3 linked regions of the Macaca mulatta genome follow. The protein of the gene in region 3 purifies or fractionates together with the protein of the main gene of each other region. This does not show direct contact. Links are inferred from orthologs where the notes say so. Each region holds a gene or a part of one and is shown on either strand. Other genes may lie near its edges.

Evidence for each region. Proteins that work in one complex are often made in the same cells at the same time.
Region 1: the proteins of APLF (region 3) and CHD1L purify together in Homo sapiens (affinity purification with mass spectrometry; 4 studies listed by BioGRID and IntAct, counting the BioPlex papers as one, with this or other methods). This does not show direct contact. The link is inferred for Macaca mulatta from reciprocal best matches to the Homo sapiens genes APLF and CHD1L.
Region 2: the proteins of APLF (region 3) and LIG3 purify together in Homo sapiens (affinity purification with mass spectrometry; 3 studies listed by BioGRID and IntAct, counting the BioPlex papers as one, with this or other methods). This does not show direct contact. The link is inferred for Macaca mulatta from reciprocal best matches to the Homo sapiens genes APLF and LIG3.

What each region holds. Positions count from the first base shown.
Region 1 is NC_133406.1:118,844,443-118,848,131, forward strand, and holds part of CHD1L (chromodomain-helicase-DNA-binding protein 1-like), read right to left. Parts: intron 2,707-3,689; coding exon 2,541-2,706; intron 1-2,540. UniProt on the Homo sapiens protein: ATP-dependent chromatin remodeler that mediates chromatin-remodeling following DNA damage.
Region 2 is NC_133421.1:44,508,462-44,512,150, reverse strand, and holds part of LIG3 (DNA ligase 3), read right to left. Parts: intron 1,603-3,689; coding exon 1,405-1,602; intron 558-1,404; coding exon 406-557; intron 1-405. UniProt on the Homo sapiens protein: Isoform 3 functions as a heterodimer with DNA-repair protein XRCC1 in the nucleus and can correct defective DNA strand-break repair and sister chromatid exchange following treatment with ionizing radiation and alkylating agents.
Region 3 is NC_133418.1:56,275,796-56,279,932, forward strand, and holds the start of APLF (aprataxin and PNK-like factor), read right to left. Parts: upstream 2,927-4,137; 5' UTR 2,747-2,926; coding exon 2,651-2,746; intron 1-2,650. UniProt on the Homo sapiens protein: Histone chaperone involved in single-strand and double-strand DNA break repair.

The DNA.
Region 1 (3,689 bases), on a different chromosome or scaffold from region 3:
AACTTAAAAATATGATCACATGCATCTATTTCTTCTCTCACTTGAAACCACCAAGTGACAGTTAAAGGAATTTTAAAAAAGATATATGAGGCAATGGTGGATGAAAAAGTTCAATAACCTTTTGGAAAATGCAAAGTAGCTGGAGGGATAATGACAGATTAAGAAGAGCCATGGAAACAAAACACAGGTGCCTAGCCAAGGGCTCATTAGGAGTCTAGAGACCCTCTCAATCTCCGAAGAGCTTAGGACTTATAAGTACAGAGTACTGCAAAGGGGGGAGCTGAGAGAAGATGTACACCCCAAGGAGCAGGAGTGCTATGAGCCCTTGACTCACCCTGCCTTTTCAGTTTGAGCAACCAGATGAACTCCATTCTCACCTCTCCCAGGGAAAATACTAGAGGATTAGTCTCAGGAGAAAATGGGCTGCCCAGTGAAAAGATGTCAAATATGGATCAGGGAAGGTGCCCTCCACGTAAAAGCTGACTCGCCAACCAGGAATAAGCCCCAAGGCCCATGCCCCTGCCCATGCCAGAGCTGCCATCAGCTTTGTGGCACTTCATCAGCACATGTGATCAGACAGCCAGGGAATACCAGACAGTTGGGGAAACTATCAATGAGAACAAGAGACCCCCAAACAAGTTTTCTTTTTTAGAAAAAGAGGTACCATGGTGACTATAGCTAATGATGACATACTGTATTCCTGAGAAATACTAGGAGGGTGGATGTTAAGTGTTCTCACCACAAATATATAACCATATGAAGTGATGTATGTTCATTAACTAGATTTAACTATTCCACAATGTACGTGTGCTTCAAGAAATCATGTTGTACATGATAAACACAATTTTATCTGCAAATTTCAATGAATAGATAAATAAGCAAATATATATATATGTGGTTTTTTTTAAAAAAAAAGAAGGAGAAGTAAAAGTCAATGCAGTGGGAAGAGAAATACTTTTTAAAAAGATATAATAAATATCCTCCCTGGAATACATATTAAAAAGCCATAATAAATGTCCCCAGAGAAGACAGTATGTCTTTGAAATGAGAACAGAGTACAATTAAAACAATAAGCAGAGAACAAGAAAGAGTTCTTGAAGAATACGAACAAGATATTTTTATAAAGAATTTTAAAGTAAAACATAAAAAAAGTCAAAAAGCAGTTTCCTGTAAAACAATGCCAGCTGCCCAAATTCCAACTTTTCCACCTATCCTACAAAAACTATACAGATCAACAAGGAGAACAAAGCCGCCCCAATCCATGCCTACTACACTAGGAGTCAGAAAATACTACACACTTCAACTTATGGAAGTAAGAGAAATGAACCCCCAAAACCAGCTGAGCCAGCTCCAAAGCCCACACTAAAGTAGACAGTCAGGCAGAGACTATGCAGAGGAGAGGGCAGGGGGGTTCCGGAAAGGTCAGAGATAAAATTTACCCGCAAAAGAGGGTCACAATCCAAGTGGCAAGATAATGAGGATAGGTCTGAGACCTGGTGGATCAGAGAAGTGGCTACTAAGGAACTGAAGGGAAGGGAAGGTATAAAAACACATGCAGCCAGGAATTTGGGGAGGCATTGCTTCTGGCAGGAAGAGAGAGACAACTTAGAAGTGGGGAGACATCCTTTGACAAGTTTGTGGCAAAAAGAAAGAGAAAGCAAGTGATGGAAATTCACAGTCCTATAGAAACAAAAGAGAACTGCAAAACCAGAAATCATGCCACTACTGCTACCCAACATGAAAAGGAGCTACCATCTAGTAAAGAAACAGCACTACTCTCTATTATTGAAAGAAAGCACCGGTGAATTAAGAAGCCTAGTAAGACTCCCAAACCTCTCACCCCAGTCCATATTGAATCTCTGCTGCAGCTGGTCCAGAAAAATAAGTCATTTCAAAATAACTACAAGATGCCAGGGAATGCCTTTACAAAGTTACCATGTGAAAAATTACTTCAAGTCAGAAATTTAAATACTCAGAATAGAAAAGAAGAAAATGACAAATGCTGAGAAATCGAGAAAAGAAAATTTAAGAGAAAGGCAACCATCTCCTACATCTCATGGCGTATTGTGGAAATTAAATGGAGAAAGCACGTGACAAAGTCCACACTGTTGATGAACACAAAGTAAATGCTCAATGTTAGCTGCAATGTAACAAACAAGTAATTCTCTTGTTTAGAAGAGGAATGACTATGTGCAAAGCATCATACCAAGGATGGTAGAGGCTTCACTAATAAACAAAGAAGATGCTTGCAACCAAGGGAGGAAAGTGACAAATTCAAAGCCTTAAGATTGATACTATCACAAACATTAATACTATGATTTTGGTTCACAGTTCAGCTACAAGGGCAGAGCCACACATATTTACAGTTAGTCTGGATACAGTTCTTGTATCAAGCAAGTCTTAAACAGTGTGCCCAAGATGACAATAGGGTAGGGTAGAAAAAAGATGTCTCAGAGAGCAGCATCCAAAACTTTCCATGGGGACATGAGCTCTAGCTTGGGGTGGTTGTGCCATTTGCTCTGCTCTAATCTCCGACTTACTTCCTTCCTCTTGCTCTCTTATCCCTCCTTCTGCTGCAGGCAAGGCATCAGAGACCCACTGGCCATCTTTTGTTTCTCCCAGGATGGACTCCAGGTCTATTTCATCCATGGTATTCCCCTCAGAGGCAAGCAGTTTATCCAAACCAAATTTGAGTATCTCACTCAACTTGAATAGAGGAAACAAAAAAGTCCAGTAAGTTCTCATGAAAAGAAACATTAGGATATCAGTGATTGGCTAAGTGGATTAACGACACCAGGCACAGTCCTTCTCTAATGAACAGGCAGCCTTTCTGCTGTCCCCATCATAGATGGTAACAGCCAGGGACATTTCATAGTTGGGAGGATGGGTAAGCAGAGAGGTGATAAATGATTATCGGAGGTACTGACTTTGACAATTCTGCATAAAAACAAAAAAATATATATAAGCCTCCAATTTTTTTGAAGAATAACAGTAATTTCCTGCATTTTCTACAGCACCTCTCCCTGACTGTTTTTCATAAGCATTCCCAGCAGCCACCTGAGGTCAGAGACCCTGTTAGCTACTTTCCGACCTCTCCACTGCCAGACTCCTTAGAAAGGGAAGGTTACACTGGGAACTTTACCTCTACCATGAACTGACTCCTTTTCTTTGGCAATTCGTTTTCCTAACGCAGTGGTCTATGGAAAACACCTTGGCAAAGACCAGTAACAACTTCTAACCACCAGACCCGAAGGCCTTTTCTCTGTTTGAATTTTTCTGGATGTTCCTCTGGCATTGCACTATCCTGTTTCTCTTCTCTCGTCCCTCTCTGGAGTACTGTCAGCCTATTGCCTATGGCTGTAGGAACCACACAGAAAGCATAGATCATTTTTCCTGGCTTTCACTTGCTACTTCCAACTTTGCACCTCCCTAAGTACTAACGCTGAGATCCTGACCCAAGGTGGATTCCAACCTTGGGCCCTTGTTCTCATCTTGCCCTTTTAGACTGGGGTAATTATCTCTAGATTGTCTATTTTGTGAGTAACTTGGAAATCTTAAGGTATTCTGTAATTGCTTGAAAAAACAATACACAGCTCACTTAAGTATGAATGTACCTAGATATATTTATATTTACCCTCCATATACATAACCAGGATGACTGGCTTTGGCAGCTGGTACCAAGAATAGTA
Region 2 (3,689 bases), on a different chromosome or scaffold from region 3:
CCACAATTCCTAGAAGGGGATGGAAACTTGCCATGGTACCGGGGATAAGAGTCACGAACAAACCAAAGCTTGGTAAACCCAAGTTACAGGAGAAAACAAGCGAGAAAAAAGAGTACAGAATAAGAGCCCCAGGAGAGACAGAGGGGGCAAGTCTGAAATCCTGACTTTTGAGAACCAGGCCTCTGTGGTTCAGCAGTGGTATGGTTTCCGCCCTCAGAAACTTACGAAATTAACAGCTATAGCCTCACATTCAGCTCCCCCAGTAATAAAGGCTTGCTCAAATGGGTTTCAGTTTCCTAAAACAGTATGTGTCCCAACCAGAAAAAAAAAAAAAGAGGCTGCAGGTGCCTGGCTTGGCAAAACCCTACCTGGAATGTAGCCTACCCTCCCTCCCCTTCCTCTGACCTGCTCTAGGTCCCGTGCCATATCATCTGGGTTGCAGTTAAAAATGCGACTGAAAAGCTTCACAATCTGCTTATCATTCAAGTTGTAAACAGTCTTAACGACTCCTGGCAGCAGCAGCTTCACCGTTAGGTACACATCACCGTGGAAACCATCTGGAGATAGAAGAAAGGAACCCTTCTTGAGAAATAGAGCTTAAACACATAAATATATAAACCCAAAGAAGACTGGGCAAGGTGGCTCACACCTGTAATCTCAGCACTTTGGGAGGCTGAGGCAGGAGGACTGTTTGAGCCCAAGAGGTGGAGGTTGCAGTGAACTGAGATTGCACCAGTGCACTCCAGCCTGGGCAACACAGCCACATTTTTTTGTCTCAATAAATAAACAAACAACTCAAAGAAGCAGAGCCCAAAACATATCTATATATCACTGCCCACGCTCCTATAGTGCCCTGTGCATATTGCTACAGTAGGAGCAGCATGGAGTTCAGAGGCTGGTGGACTGTGTGACTGCCTTGCCTTTAGCCTACAGATGAACTCTCGTTGGACAGAGTGGTTACTTTCACTTCAGGTGCCCAGTGACAAGGGCATTACAGATGCTCATTGACAATTTGTTAGATAAATTAAAGAAACAGAGTTGGAAGATTCTATTCCAAGCTGTGTATATGGTTCACAAAAACCTAATTAAATATGTAGGACAGTAAATTTTCTAACTAGTCAAATAGGATGGGTTCTTCTGGCCTCCTAGGAGCAGAATAATGGGAGAGGAAGAAAGATGCCAAAGTGCTCTGAAAAAAACTGGTTACATAATTTGAGGAGTACAGTGCAAAATGCAAATGCGAGGCCCTTTGTTCAAAATTATTAAGAATTTCAAGACAGACTACAGTAAAGCATTAAACCAAACATGGGACCCTGGGCAACTACACAGCTCACATGCCCTGGAAGGCAGTCATGGCCTTGAGCTCTCTGGAGGAAAGGCCTATTCAGGATGCTCATGCCACACCTCCTGCTGAGCCTTTCCGCAGGAAGTCCTGGATGATCTGCGTCTTCGTGTTGTAGCTAGGATTATCGGCCACCATGGCGCATAACTTTCGAAACTCCCGTAGCAGACAGTCCTTATGCTTGGGGTCACATTTGCTTGAAGACAGACTTCTCTTAGGGGTGGGGCTTGAGGGGGCTTCCCCAGAGTTGTTGGGCTTGGCTGTTGGAGAAACAACAGAGATGAATTCATTCTGCCTTTCTGAGAAGAAAGAAAGGGAAGGAAGGAAGTTAACAGATATTCTGCTGGTACTTTAGCTTTATTTACTCTCCCCGAATAGACCTTTGGGGTAGATGTCATTACACCCATCTTACAGATAAAGAAATGGAGGCCAAGTAATTTTCTCAAATCTTACAGCTATTAATTAATGGTAAAGGAGCAATGGCCTCCTTAGACCAAGCAAAACATCAGACTGATGTGCATCTCTTTATGTGAGCACTTCACAAAAGAATAAAGACCGAAGTCATGCCAAGAATGATCAGGACTGGCTGGGCACCGTGGCTCACACCTGTAACCCTAACACTATGGGAGGCCAGCGTGGGAGGACCGCTTGACCCCAGGAGTTTGAGACCAGCCTGGGCAACATAGGAAGATTCTGTCTCTAAAAAATAAATAAATAAATAAATAAATAAATAAATAAATAAATAAAGCGGTCAGAAGATTCTCAGAGCAATTGTAAAGCTGACCCCAGAAAAGTTGGCATGAAAAAGGAGTAAGAAATCAAGGCACATGTTAGTCAATGTGAAATTACTGCTATCACAGGTTGTCAGAGCTGGAAGAAGCCTTAAAGATTATCTAGTTCAATGGTCTCTTACTGATAAGGCGATTGAGGTCTGACAAGAGCAAATGACTTCCTGGCCCACTTCCTTGTTGAAAGAGCCAGGACAAAGACACTACTAAGAAAGTCAGATCCCACTAGTACACTCAACATCCCCACCCCTTGCCACTTCAACCTTTCTTTTCTTATTGTCAAAATAAAACCCTGCTCCCCAAGGAGCAGTTATAAAAAAAAAATACATTTTTACAAAAGGTGGTCAAGGGGCAGGGCTTTCCTCCAGACGCTTAAAAATAACTATGCGCCACTCATCGATCACTTCGTGACCATTTACAAACCAAATTTTATTCCCAAGCTTGTGGCAGAGCCATTACTAAGCTAACTGCTGTTGTACGCTGCTTCTTGTCTGGGCTTTGTAAATTATAAATCCATCCTCATCTCTGATACGGAATCTAAATACGATTTTAAGGGACAAAATCTCCAAAGTGTCAATGTTCAACCAGGTTGCAAGAACTAAAATACTGTTTCTCTCAACTCCTCTCAAATTCCATCCCCAACACCGGAGCCCTTCCAGAAACATGCCGTCCTTCTCATCACCTGGACTCTTCTCTATCTTTGGCCTACCAGCAAACAACAAACAAACCAACCTCAGAATTTTAAAATAATAAAAATCCTATAGAGCCAGGCACCGTTTTTGCAACGTTATCTCTTATAGTCCTCATGAGAACACTATGGGGTAGATGAGGCACGGAGATATGATGAAGCTTAAACAAATAAATACACAACCTCAAGGAAGCAGAGGGGAAAGTAATTTATATATTGCTGCCTATGCTCCCATAGCACCCTGTACATAACACTATGGTAGGAGAGGCCACTGCTGCTTCACAGACAGAGGCTGAAGAGAAGTAAGGACATGCTCAGGGATCTGAGCTGTCAAGGATCAGAACCCAAGTCTTCTGACCTCAGGTCTAGGCTTCTTTCAATCACATAAAATGTCTTTCAATCTCCAAATGACTTCTAAAATAAGGCCAGGTGGTTTGGCTTCATTTATTTTCTTCAACTGAGTCAATCACAAGAATGTCTCCAAACAATAAACGTAGCAACACAGTGTAGTATAAAAGAGCACAGATACTGGAGTCAGACTTCAGTGCAAATACTAACTCCATGATAACCCTGAACTTCAACTTTCTCAGTCATAAAAAAGGCCTAATAAAAAGTACTTCCTAAATAAAAGTACTGTCTAGGGTTAACTGAAGAACAAATGAAACTACACATGTAAAAGCCCCTAGTCCAACGCTGTTTACGTAAGGCCAATAAATGATCCTGACCTTCTCAACTCCCATCTACACCACATGCCCCAGCAAAGTCTTCCTGAATCCCTGTCTATGAAACAGCAATTCCATATTTTATATAAAAGAAACTATATATGTGTGTATACACGTGTGTGCATGTGTGTATTATAGTGAAGAGAAAA
Region 3 (4,137 bases):
TGGTAGATTCACATGTAGTTGAAAGATATAATATAGAAATATCTCTTGTACCATTTATCCAGTTTCCCCCAATGGTAACATCTTACAAAACTACAGTACAATACATCAACCTAAGATATTGATATTGACACAGTCCAGACAAAGCACATTTCTGTCACCATAAATATCCCTCACGTTGCTATTTTATAGCCATATCCATTCCCATCTGCCCTCCTGCCTAATTTTTTAACCTTTGGCAACCACTAATCTGTTCTCCATTTTTGAAATTTTGCAATCTGCAATTTCAATAATGTTATATAAATAGAATTACACAATATGTAATCTTTTGGATTGGCTGTTTTAACTTAAGTTCTCTGAAGATAAATCCTGCTGTAAAACCATCTAACTGATGCCAATCATGAAGCAGAATCAAAATCTAGTAAACAAAGAGCTGGGGTTCTCTGATGACTCACGTGAAAGCAAAGGGCACAAGAAAGATTAAATTTCATTGTCCTTTGTTTGTGACAGGTTTCTCTGTGTTTTCCTACCACCGTAAAAATATAAAAATATTCTCATTGTCAAACTGTTTTACTACTAAGACTATTTTACACAGTGGGATTATAAACTTTTATGTTTGTGTGGCCATCAAGGTTTGTGAAGCTTGTCTCAGAAAAACGTGCCCAATTAAGAAAGTTCAAAATCATCCTTATTTATATTAATCATTTCCAATGTATACCAATTTACAATGAACTTACTGAGTTTTCCACTTAGAACTCAGTCTTCGCTCTCTCACAAAACAAAAATAAGTCTCACTGGAATTCCTGTTGTTGGAAACAGGGGCCCTTATGTTGTGTTTTAACCACTGCGGAGAAGAATCGAGTGCATCTGTCAGCTCCAAAATCGAAAAAACTACAAGGTGATTTGTTTGTTCTCCAAATTTTTCCTTTAACACACTTAGGATGTCATTCATAAGCACTTCTGATACCTGCCAACCTTGGCAACAGAATCTCATCCCTGAATGTTATTTTAAAAGGAAAAGCAAGATCTTGACCAGATAATTGCCCAGCTTTCACTCCCTATCATTTTAAAAAACAGATACCAAATAGGCTCATCTCACATTAGCAAGTCGACAACACAAAGAACAAGCTACAAATAATGAAAGGGTATGCAATCTGTTGCCAAGTTTCTACAACACGGCCCTAAAATTCATCCATCTTTTAACCAGACCCAGGTACTCTACTGGTGACAATGTCTTAAGCAAGTCAAAACTCATTAGTCACCAGACACATGATTACTAGATGAAACACATACTCTAAGTTTCTAACCTACGAATTTAAAAGAAAAACAGAAAAATAAAGCCTCCAGTTCCTTCCAGTGTTTGTAAGGCTAATAAACGACGAAAAAAAAAATTGAAATGATGTTAAACATTTAAATAATCACTTGTCAGTTAAAAAAAAGAACAGCAATTGAGTACTGTCTCAATAACCGTACTACATGCACATGTGTATGTACACAACACACAACACACACACGCCTTTAGGACCAATTTCCATAACACAATCTTAAACTACCACTCCTTTCCCTGCTCCCAGAAGGGACCTAAGGCAAGTACCAATGGTTCCATTTAGACTCTAGAAGTCAATCAGGATAACAGTAAACACTCCTCACTCTTTGGTGTTAGCTCACTGACACAGGTGTCTCCCAGTCCCAAGAGAAAACTCCTAGCGGGCAGGGACCCATGTTCCATTCATCTTTGTATGCCCCACAGTGCTAGAATCTGCAAAATGTTCTACACAGTGAGCACTAAAAAGAAATGCTGAATGTTAAAGAAAAAAATTAAAAACTAGATGTACTTAAGAAGAGCTCTATAGAATTCTGGAATGCAATATGCAAATGTTCTCATTCCTAAACCTCCCAAAGAAGGTAGAGAATATTTAGTTTTGTGGCATTGTGTCCAAAAGCTTATGCATGGACCTTAAATAACGTATGTATGGCTCAATTTTCTCATCTGAACAATGAGGATAATAAAAATACCTGACAGTTAAAGATGTTGGTATAGATAATGTCTCCTTAGACCAATGACTCGAACGCTATACACATTCCTTATTAAGGATTAGCTACTCATTTTACTGGAAATAATAAATAATACAAATAAATAAATAAGGTCCACACAGCTCTGCAAAGGAGACCAAAGCTTAAATTAGCCTAGAAGACATAATATCACGGTTTGGCAAACTTTTCTGTAAAGGGCCAGAGACTACCGTAAATATTTTAGGCTTTACAGGACAAGCCACAATACCCTGAACCCTTGCAGCAATATTCTCCCGGAAAAATTGGTAGGTTTTTTGTTTATATTTTACATTTTAGAATTTAAGAATCATTCTTAGTTCACGGGGCCATACAAACATAGGCTGGATTTGGCCCCCAGACTCTAGTTTGCCAAACCCCGGAAAAGATAATAATGGTAATACAGTCAGTGTTTTTAAAGCAACATAAAGAAATGTTTGTGAATTGCTTAAAGGTAACTGAAAAACTTGCGGCCCCAAACTTATAAAATCCAGACCGGCGGACCAGCGCGGTGGGGAATAGGGCTAGGACTAGGGCCGGTCTTCAGGCGCCGGAGCGGACCTCCACGGCTTTCGGGGTCCGCCGAGCCCCCGCCCACACTTACTCCCAGCAGCGGCCCGCGGCCGATCACAGTCTCCCCGGGCGCCAGGGCCACCCGGGGACCGCCGTCCCGCGGCTGCAGCTCGAAGCCCCCGGGCATGGCGGGCAAGGATTAGGCCCCTTCGCCAGGAGACTGGCCCCTCCGCTGTTTCCGCGGGGAAAGCCCAGGACTTGGGAAAAACAGCGGGGGAGGGCCGCAAAGGCTACCCGCGCCTGCGCCGGTCCTGTCAGAGCCCAGCCCCAGCGCAGTTTCCCGAGTCCCGTCCCTCCACGCCTACTGATGACGCAATCGGGGATTCCCCAGTCACGCCGCCTCAAAATTATTGTTTAAAAACCCCGGCTTATTCCCCACCACCCTTTTCACCTCCCTCCCTTCTTGGAGGACGCCGGGCCTTGTAGTCCTGGCGCCTTTCTTCACTTCCTTTCCCGAGCTAAGACGCCCTGGAAAAAACTACCAATCCCCAAAGGCACTACGCGCCCCCTCTCGGCGCCTGCGCGAGTTCCGAGTCAGCAGGGTGGGGCTTAGGTGGGCGGGAAGAGAAGAGCTATGGGGAAAGATTCGAATTCCGGAGGATTTAAATCGCGGGAGGAGAAGCCATCGCGGCCCAGTAGGTAGGAGGATCTTCCATTCCCGTTGGCTTAGATGTCTACGCTCCCGGGGACGCGGCCCTGACGCAAGCTCAGCCTTCCCTCCGCGGCCTGGAGCCGCAGTGACAGCGCTGACGGTTGTTGTCACTTGTCAGTGCTCCGTGTTCTTGGCTTCCAGCAGCTGCAACCCGCGCAGGACACAAGGAAGGTGGCTCAGATGGGACGTGGGGTGATTAGCCCTGACCCGCGGGATGTGGGCTGAGTGGGGCTCCCGGCCCCACCTTATGCGCTGCCGCCAATCTATCCCTCCGAGTGATAGTTGAAAGGGAGACGAGCTTTTACCTCACTTGAGAGAGAATTCAGCAAAGCTCGATTCATAAAGGAGAAAGGGCAGAAGAGGGGTCGTTTCCAGGCATCCAGGCGAACCTGGACGTAGAAGAAAGATTCCTAGTGGGATTTTAGAACCTCGCCAAGGCATCCCCTGCTGTGAAATTCAAAAACCTTCATTCCCGTTGCAGGAATTCCACAAGGGGAGGCATTTTATTCTCCCAGTAAGATCCTGGGAGAAGTGGATAAACACACCGTAACGTTTAAATACACTGTAACGTTTTCCTAATGTGAGATTCTTTTCAAGAACCTTGTGGTTTGGCTTTGGTTTGTATTGGTGGTGGGAGGGGCCAAGGTGCATGGCAAAAACTTGCTCTTGACTCACTCGTTTTTACCAGTTTGCTTTCTTACTTCCCCCAACCCTCAAGAGGAAGACCTCTGTTGAACACAGACTACAGTTCCAGCCACCACAGCTAATCTGGATCATGAATAGGAACCACCGTGGTCTTGTGAAGTCCAGAAACATAGCTGAGTAGCTCGTCTAGAAAAGAGATTTGTGTTCAGCTGAGTTAAAAG